Arabidopsis thaliana: one gene and its partner. The protein of the gene in region 2 purifies or fractionates together with the protein of the main gene of each other region. This does not show direct contact. Each region holds a gene or a part of one and is shown on either strand. Other genes may lie near its edges.

Region 1 (4,663 bases), on a different chromosome or scaffold from region 2:
AATTGAAATCTGATAACCAAAAACCGGAACAGAACCGCAAATCAACATTTGTACTTGTACGTTCACACAAGACATGCATTGTCCTAGGAGACTAAAGATGGACCGGCCGATTACACCTCGTATCCGATCCAAAAATTATGTGATATATTATCATCATTGAGGATAAAATTTACTATTGATTGTTTCACACTTTCACTGTATGACACTATTTATTCTATTACCCGGTTTAATGCATTATGCATGGATCCCAACGTTACTAGAAATATCCAAAAAATAACAAAAGAAAGAAGAAAAAAAAATCCAATCCAAGATACCCAACATACATGGCCCTAACATTTCTTTACACAAAATGGACAACTCCTCTTTAAGATATTTAAGTACCCAAAGAACCCTAACCAAAAGAAGAAAACTTGGACAATAATTTGGACTCGTAGGCCATAGTACTCAAATACAATTTACTGTATTGACTTTCTGTTTGTTCCAAACTTCCAATTATCAACATTTTCTCTGAATCTTCCGAATTTTCTAGCTGTGTATAGAGAGATGAAAAAAAATCAATTATGGCATTCCCTTTCGGATTGAATACTTAAGAATTCATTAAAAATGTCGATCTATATTACTTCTAGACTCTGTAGAAATGATATAACGTATCAATAACAATAACAACAATAATGGTAAAACAGACCTCTCCCTCTTTTATCTCTGTATCTCTCTCACACACACGCACACAAAACTGCTGAGTCTTGATCATCTTCAATTTCAAGATGAAGATGATTCTTCTTCTGCGCTTCCTTGTGCTGTGGCTTCTTCTCCTTCAGCTTCAAGGGGCTTTTCTGGTCCAGGTCCAGCTGATACTTTCACCATTGAAGGACGTAAAAGCCTTTCACCTAGCAAGAAACCTTTCCTGTATTCTTCTAGTACTATACCCTCTTCGTATTCCGCAGAGTCTTCTCTCATTATTGCCTCATGTAGCTTTTTTCACACAACAACGAGAAAAGCAAAAGGATAAAAAAGAGATGTCAGCTGTTAGGGACTTGAAAAGACCAACAAACAAAAGGATATCTACCAACTCATTGTCATTTAAACCCAACTTGCAAAAGTAACAACCACATCTTACATCTAAAGTCTCCAAAACTTTAGCAGATTCATGCTTAGGACTAGACGCATAAGTGGTTATGTATTTCAAGCTTTGCGATAACCAAAAGGCATCTAACTGAGATAAGTGATCCTAAACCTCAAAGATTTATTGATCATTTGCATCACAAAAGTATCATTCAGCATAATTTGTTCCATCCATCTGATGTAGCTAACTTTCAAAGTAACAACCATATCTACGTTCTGCTCAAGATTATTCCGGCAGCCCTATAGCAACGAATTATCCTAACTTCCAAAACAACTTTGATTTTAAAGATCACGTCCATAGTTAAAAATTAAAACCACCAGCAAGCTGAGCAACAAAAATACAGTTGTCGATCTCCGGAAAGAAGAAAAGATATCATAGTAACTAACCATTGGATCAAACTGCTTGCCGACTGTCTCCACATGGATAACACCAAGTGATCCCAGAATTTCTACAAACTGTTTGTATATGCTCTGATAGCTATTAGTGACTTTCTCTTCTCCCTCAGTCTCCACCTTAATTTGGGATTTAGCTCTCTCGAAATTATCCAAAACAGCCAAAAGATTCTCTACAACCTCTCCTTGAGCATTTGAAACAAGGTTTAGCCTTTCCCTCTCAGTCCTCTTCCTGAAGTTGTCGAAATCTGCACTGATTCTTATAAGCCGATCCCTCTCCACCGATAACTCATTGGATAAAGACGCTACTTTATCCGCAAGCAGAAATTTTTCATCTTCTATGGACTTTAAAGATGCTTCTATCTCAGCAATCTTCCCCTCGTTGTTGTCTGCTAAAGCTTCTTTATAGGATTTCAGCAACGCTGTGATAACAGCTGCTTCTTCTTCCTCAGCTTCACCCTCCTCAGCACTGGCATTTTCATTCTCGACATCAACAGCACCATCCGTCTCCTGCTCCATGATTTCAGAAGTGAAACAAAAAATCAGAAAAAGAGCAATCCAGTTTACATAGACGTTTCCTATCTATTCCTGATAAAAGCTGAGACAGAACACACACTAACGACACAATTTTTTAATGACCTCCTAAACAATCAGATTAACACCAAAAAAGCTTCAGAACATTCTGTGGCCCCCATACAAGAATCACGAAATCAAAATTCGATTTGGATAGTACATACACACCATGGTCTTAAACTACTAGTGAAACTCCTTCATTTTGGGAACACACCATACCACAAGAATATGAAATCTGTCATTCATCGGATTTGGTATATCCTAAGAAACATTAGCATTCACCATTTGACTCCTGAATAGACTGAATACAATCCTATTCATTGCTCTAATTCATGTGAACGTTCCTTCAGAGGGTAATATAATCAATAAAGCTTAAAAATTTAAGCAAACAACAAGCAATTCTAAATTACCATATCCCAAATTCGAAACCCTAATCACCGAACTAACAATGAAATAACCCCCAAGAAAGTTGAACAGAAGTGAGCCGAAATCGAAAAACCTGAACTTCGGGTTCGTTCGATTCCACCTCCGTCTCCGTCGTCTCAGCTTCTCCCGAAGCAAAGGGTACGAGGTTTAGTAAGCGGAGAGGATAGCCGCTAGAGACAGACCGGAGAGAAGCTCGGCGAGAGAGTGAGACGCTAACGTTTCTTCCTCCGGCGAAAGATACGCAAAAGGGCTTAAAGGGTACAGAAGGAGCATGAAGAAGAGTTGGTGTGAGATGTAAAGACGGCGTTTTGAGTAGACCGGCCATCGAAGAGTTCGGAGAAAGAGAAGGAGAGTGGCGGAGAGAGATAAGGAAGATAGAGAGAGAGAGGGCAAACGGTTCTACTCTTCCTCGTCGGATCTTTTGTTTTGTTTCGTTTTTTTAACCGTTGGATTTACTTTTCGTTTTTACTATGTTGATCGGACCGTTGTTGTTCAACAGAGATTACGTAGGGAGTTTTTCAACCGTCGGATTTAGATTTTCTTGAAACTTCTACAGTTTTGTGAATATTTTATATAATACAATAAAATCTCTGTAAATTAATACTCGAGAAGGCTGTTCGATGTTCTATGCCAATGATCTAACTGATTCCTGGTATGATGTCTCCAAACTCTTTGTAAGTTGTCTTCCACTCTTATGGTTCAACTCTTTTTCCAAGTCCACTTCATCACGAATCTCTTCATCTTCTCTAGCGATGACTACACTTTTCTTCAAGTGGGAGCAAATTTATCCAGGAACTGTTGTTCTGACATAAGAATATTTGAATGATTTGTAGTTGTATCAATTTCGCCTTGCCTTTCTTTTGGATCTGAATGTTTCAAACATTTTCGACAATAAAATATGTTTTTACCAATTTGTATCAGTTTTGTTATTGCAGATTCAAATTGTATCATGATCTCATGCATATCGTTGTTGAAAATAACATAATAAGACTTGAGATTTGGGAAATTTTTAGAAGCAATTTTGTGTTATTGACTATAACTAGTTCTACAATTTGGGCTTAGGCTTTATTTACAAAAGGGTTTCCTTAAGCCCAAAGAGATGTACTATATAGTTAAATGTTTGTTTTGGTCAAGTACTAGTACTCAATATGTTATAGATGAAAAGTAATAAGAGAATATCAGGGTTTGCCGGTTTGGGTTGACAACAAAGAGATAGGAGACCATCCATGTTTAATCTATTTTCTAAGTCCGCACACTTAGTTTTGTCAGAAGTAGTGGGTGCAACGGACCTTAATCCTAAATCAGAAGTATTAACTACAAAGTGACTAAAGTTTTAAACTAATTATTAAATATCACCCGTTGTTGAGGCTAACATATCATAAAAGATATTCTTCTTCGACCATTTTACTTTTTCATTTTCCAATTTCTCAATATATTATTTTAGTTAAAATTTTGTAAGTAGATGTTTATCAAAAATTCTCAAGTAAATATCTAGCATATGTTTGGAGGTGACAATCCATATAAGCTTTTAAAATTGAATATCAAATAGTTTAGTTCAAATGTTTAGAATTGGAAGCTAAATAAAGGAAGAATTTCAAAAGCATCTTTTCGAATACCACTTTTCAAAAATATTATATTTCTAATTGTTTATTAAAAGTACTCCTAAGAATATGAGGTTTATTCAAATATGTGTGTAACTTTATTAAAGTATACAAACTACTTTTATATGTGTGTAAAAACTTATAAATATTTTATAAATACAGTATAAAAATAACTTATAAATACCTTGTAAAACAATACCTTGTAAAACATTTTTAAATACCTTCTAAAATCTTATTAAACCATATAAAATACTTTATAAAACATTAGATCGAATCTCCAATTAGTAGTTTACACCAAAAACTTTATGAACTTTTGAGATTTAATGAAGAGTATTTTCTAAAAATAAACACCTAAAAAGTTTCCAATGGTGATTAACAAATTGAACTAGCTGAATAAAATGAGTACTGATAAGTTGAATAAAGATAAGCTGAATAATAAAAAAGAGTTGGATAAACTAGATGAGATGAATAAGTTAGAGAAAAATAAAAGGTAACCTCTATATGTTTTCAACAGCTAAACATATTTCAATATTAATTAGAAACAGCTA
Region 2 (3,334 bases):
CCAACCAAAGAACCACAATCCCATAATGATACCGAAGCAGGACAAGCTCAACAACCCCCATGAAGATTCGTCAGAATTGAAGATATCATCACAATCTTCATCGAGGGGAGGTGGTGGCATGACAAAGAGCGGCTGAAGGTCACCACGAATTGACCCCATTTCGGTGATTCTTAGAGAAAGAGATAACAAAAAAAAAATTATGAGGTAAGAAATGAATTGGATAGAAGAAACCCTAGAGATTTATAGGATAAGTAAAGATAAAATAAAACACCTGAGAATTTGTGAGGAAGTGAATCCATGAAAGATAAGATGATAGGGTAAGTTTATTAGTGTAACGGTTATCGTTCGATTTTGGTTCTCCGGCTAGTCTTCTTCTTTTCTCTCCGTCGTTTGAACGGTAATGACGACCAGAGTCTTGAGGGTATTTTTATAACTTTATTATATAAAATAATAACATTATTTTTCAGACTTTTGTTTGTGTCTGTGAGGATTTTGTTTTTTTATTATATTATTTGAAGAGATTCTTTCGTGAAATTCCAATTTTATCCTTCGGTTAACGTTAATTAAACTGTTAAGTTTAACAGTATAGTAAGTTAAAATTAATCAACTGTTAAGTTTTAGTGTTTAATTAGTATTCTAAAACAAAATATATTGATTGAACTTAGCAATTTCAATATACTTATGTGAAATTGTTTATTCATATGTGTTATCTTAACAATTATTGAATGTATTATTGCACAATTAATTACATAATGTTTATTTTAACAAAAAAAAAATACAGTGCCTAAAAACATTATGTAATGGTTTCTCCTAATTAAGTATGACCATGTCAACTAACAAAAACGTGCAACACCGCCTTGAGCTCGAATATCGGCGGGAACACGTTCAAGAGCCATCACGGCGCATGCGCCAGCTTCTTCAGCGATTCGAGCTTGCTCTGCGTTGACGACATCCATGATTACACCGCCACGAAGCATCTGAGCGAGACCAACTTTCACGGAGAAGGGAGATTTCTGTTTCGTCTCCGTCATGGCTCCTTCGCCGTACACCGCCACAACTCCGGTTCCTGCCATTTTTTCTAGGGTTTTGAGAGAGTGTGGAGCAGAGGAGAGGGGATTTTATAGGACGCGATTTGAAATTTGTTTGTGGACTGTGAGCTGTTGGATTGAGAAAAGATAGTAAAAGTACGTGAATCGGACGGGTTTAGAGGAAGGAGCACGAGGATTGTGGTGGACGTGAGTGTAGAGAAGAGAAGCTACGTATGGAAACTTTGACCACAAGATTTGTTTCTTTTTGTTGTAAATGTATAGTCCCGAAGAGATTATTATCTTGTTGACGTGGAAGCTCATTTCCCTATACCATCGTGTGATGTCGAAGAACCACTGATTCGGATATGTTATGTGTGTAAGGGTGTTGTTCTTTTTTTATGGTATAAAATATGTGGAGAATTTGGAAAAGAATATTAAATTTAATAAAATAAATTACAGTCCTTAATTATTTAATCAATAATTTATACTCTTTTCATTTCACAATATACGTTGTTTTAAATAAAAATATGCAAATTAAAAATATTTATTTTTAAAAAGTTTAGCTAATCATAAAAGAGATTACATAATATAAATAATCAAAAAATATTAAAATAATATATTATTTACATAGAAAGTTAAAAACAATTTATGTTGTGAAACAAAAAAATTGGTCCAAAACTACTTATATTACGAAACGGAGGAAATATACAAAATCCGAATTTATTCAGAAATTAACAATTAATTTATGAAATCCTTAATTATCGATTCGGGTTTCGAACCATTTTGTGATGTGAGTCAACAAACAATGGTTCACTATATTGCCTACCCTATGGTAGTTAACCAATGGTGTTGTCACAAAGATGGTTAAGAGATGAAACGAATTAATGCAAAGAAAGACCTGAGCCTTGTCAATATCAAATTATATGATTTTTATTAATGCTCTAACGATTCAACATCACATTGGACAGATAATAATACATCTTAAGCTGTATAGATTCGCTTCACATGCATTATTTTCTTTCGACATATTGGACACCTCCCCTTGGTTCTTTTTATCCTGCAAATATTGTCAAATCACAACGTTCAATATTTTAGATCAATCCCAATATGGTAAACACATTACCATTACAATTATGCAATCCAGAAGTTGTACTTAGTTGATAAAAAACTTACTTTGTTCCGCATTGGTAACAGGAGACGCAATGGCCACACGGGAGGAAACAACAATCTCTTGGAGCATCAAAACAAATGGCACAGAGACTTTTGTTACTTGCTTCGACATCATTACAACAATCATTGTCACCTTTGTCTGCAAGTAGACATGTTCTCACTGAATCATCTTCGGATAAAAATCCCTCTCCACCACAACACTTTAACTTGTTGCAGAAGTGTATAGCTACCAGCATGAAGGAAAGCAACACACCTGCATACGCAATAATACTACATGTAATTGCTTCCTTGTTACAGAGAAACTAACAAATGCTTAAATCCAATAATCAAGTTGACTTTGAAAAGATTGAAAAGTTTACCTGTGAAGCTTCCATATGCAATCAATCTAGGTTGATATGACAACTCGATATACCATTCATCATCGATGGATACTCCCTAAGGCAGTGAGACAAACATTCATTCAGCTAAGAGTCATAATAATAATAACAGTAACAATATTGTTAGTGTTTCGTATTACGAGTACATACCTGACCCAGTGCTGGTGAAGTTACGACAGCATAATTTTCAACAGGGGACCTTTCATTCATTTTGAATGAGCACTCGCCATTGCTGAAGGAACAATTGTAGGATGATTGTTTAGTATCATACAAGACAACCTTCACATCAATATCCAGTTCCACCTGAACAAACATTATGTCAAGTAAAACAGTGTACTGTGGACTGTGCAGAAACACAACAGAAACCAAAACTTAATCCAAAGTCATAACTTGATTATAATTACCTCTACGTCCTTCCTCTTCAAGTTAGCCACAGTAAGATAATAACCTTTAGACTTACTTATATCCAATTGAATCATACCACTCCCTGTAAAGAACTTTTATTAACTCATGATAAGCAATGTAATCAATGCATCTTAAGCAGGAACTTCCATTTGACTAACCCTGAATTAGATTCCATGACCAAGCGGTGTCACGAAATGCAATATCCTTCAGCGACGACCGATAGAAGAATGGCATTCCTATAAATTGAGAGCCTTAACATAGTCAGTTTATATCCCTAAAAGGCAACACTTTCAAACAAAAAAAACTCACTAACATTAACACTTCTACTTCCTCTATTTCCTCTTACTTCACTCA

What was found.
Region 1: the proteins of PDX1L4 (region 2) and EMB1241 fractionate together in Arabidopsis thaliana (co-fractionation; one large-scale study listed by BioGRID). This does not show direct contact.

What each region holds. Positions count from the first base shown.
Region 1 is NC_003076.8:5,838,801-5,843,463, forward strand, and holds EMB1241 (Co-chaperone GrpE family protein), read right to left. Parts: upstream 3,059-4,663; 5' UTR 2,840-3,058; coding exon 2,588-2,839; intron 2,026-2,587; coding exon 1,510-2,025; intron 973-1,509; coding exon 760-972; 3' UTR 539-759; downstream 1-538.
Region 2 is NC_003071.7:16,004,937-16,008,270, reverse strand, and holds PDX1L4 (putative PDX1-like protein 4), read right to left. Parts: upstream 1,523-3,334; 5' UTR 1,074-1,522; coding exon 834-1,073; 3' UTR 549-833; downstream 1-548. Other genes in the region: APD3 (RING/U-box superfamily protein), read right to left, coding at 6-159; APD4 (RING/U-box superfamily protein), read right to left, coding at 2,010-2,085, 2,202-2,451, 2,558-2,633, 2,726-2,878, 2,980-3,062, 3,139-3,216.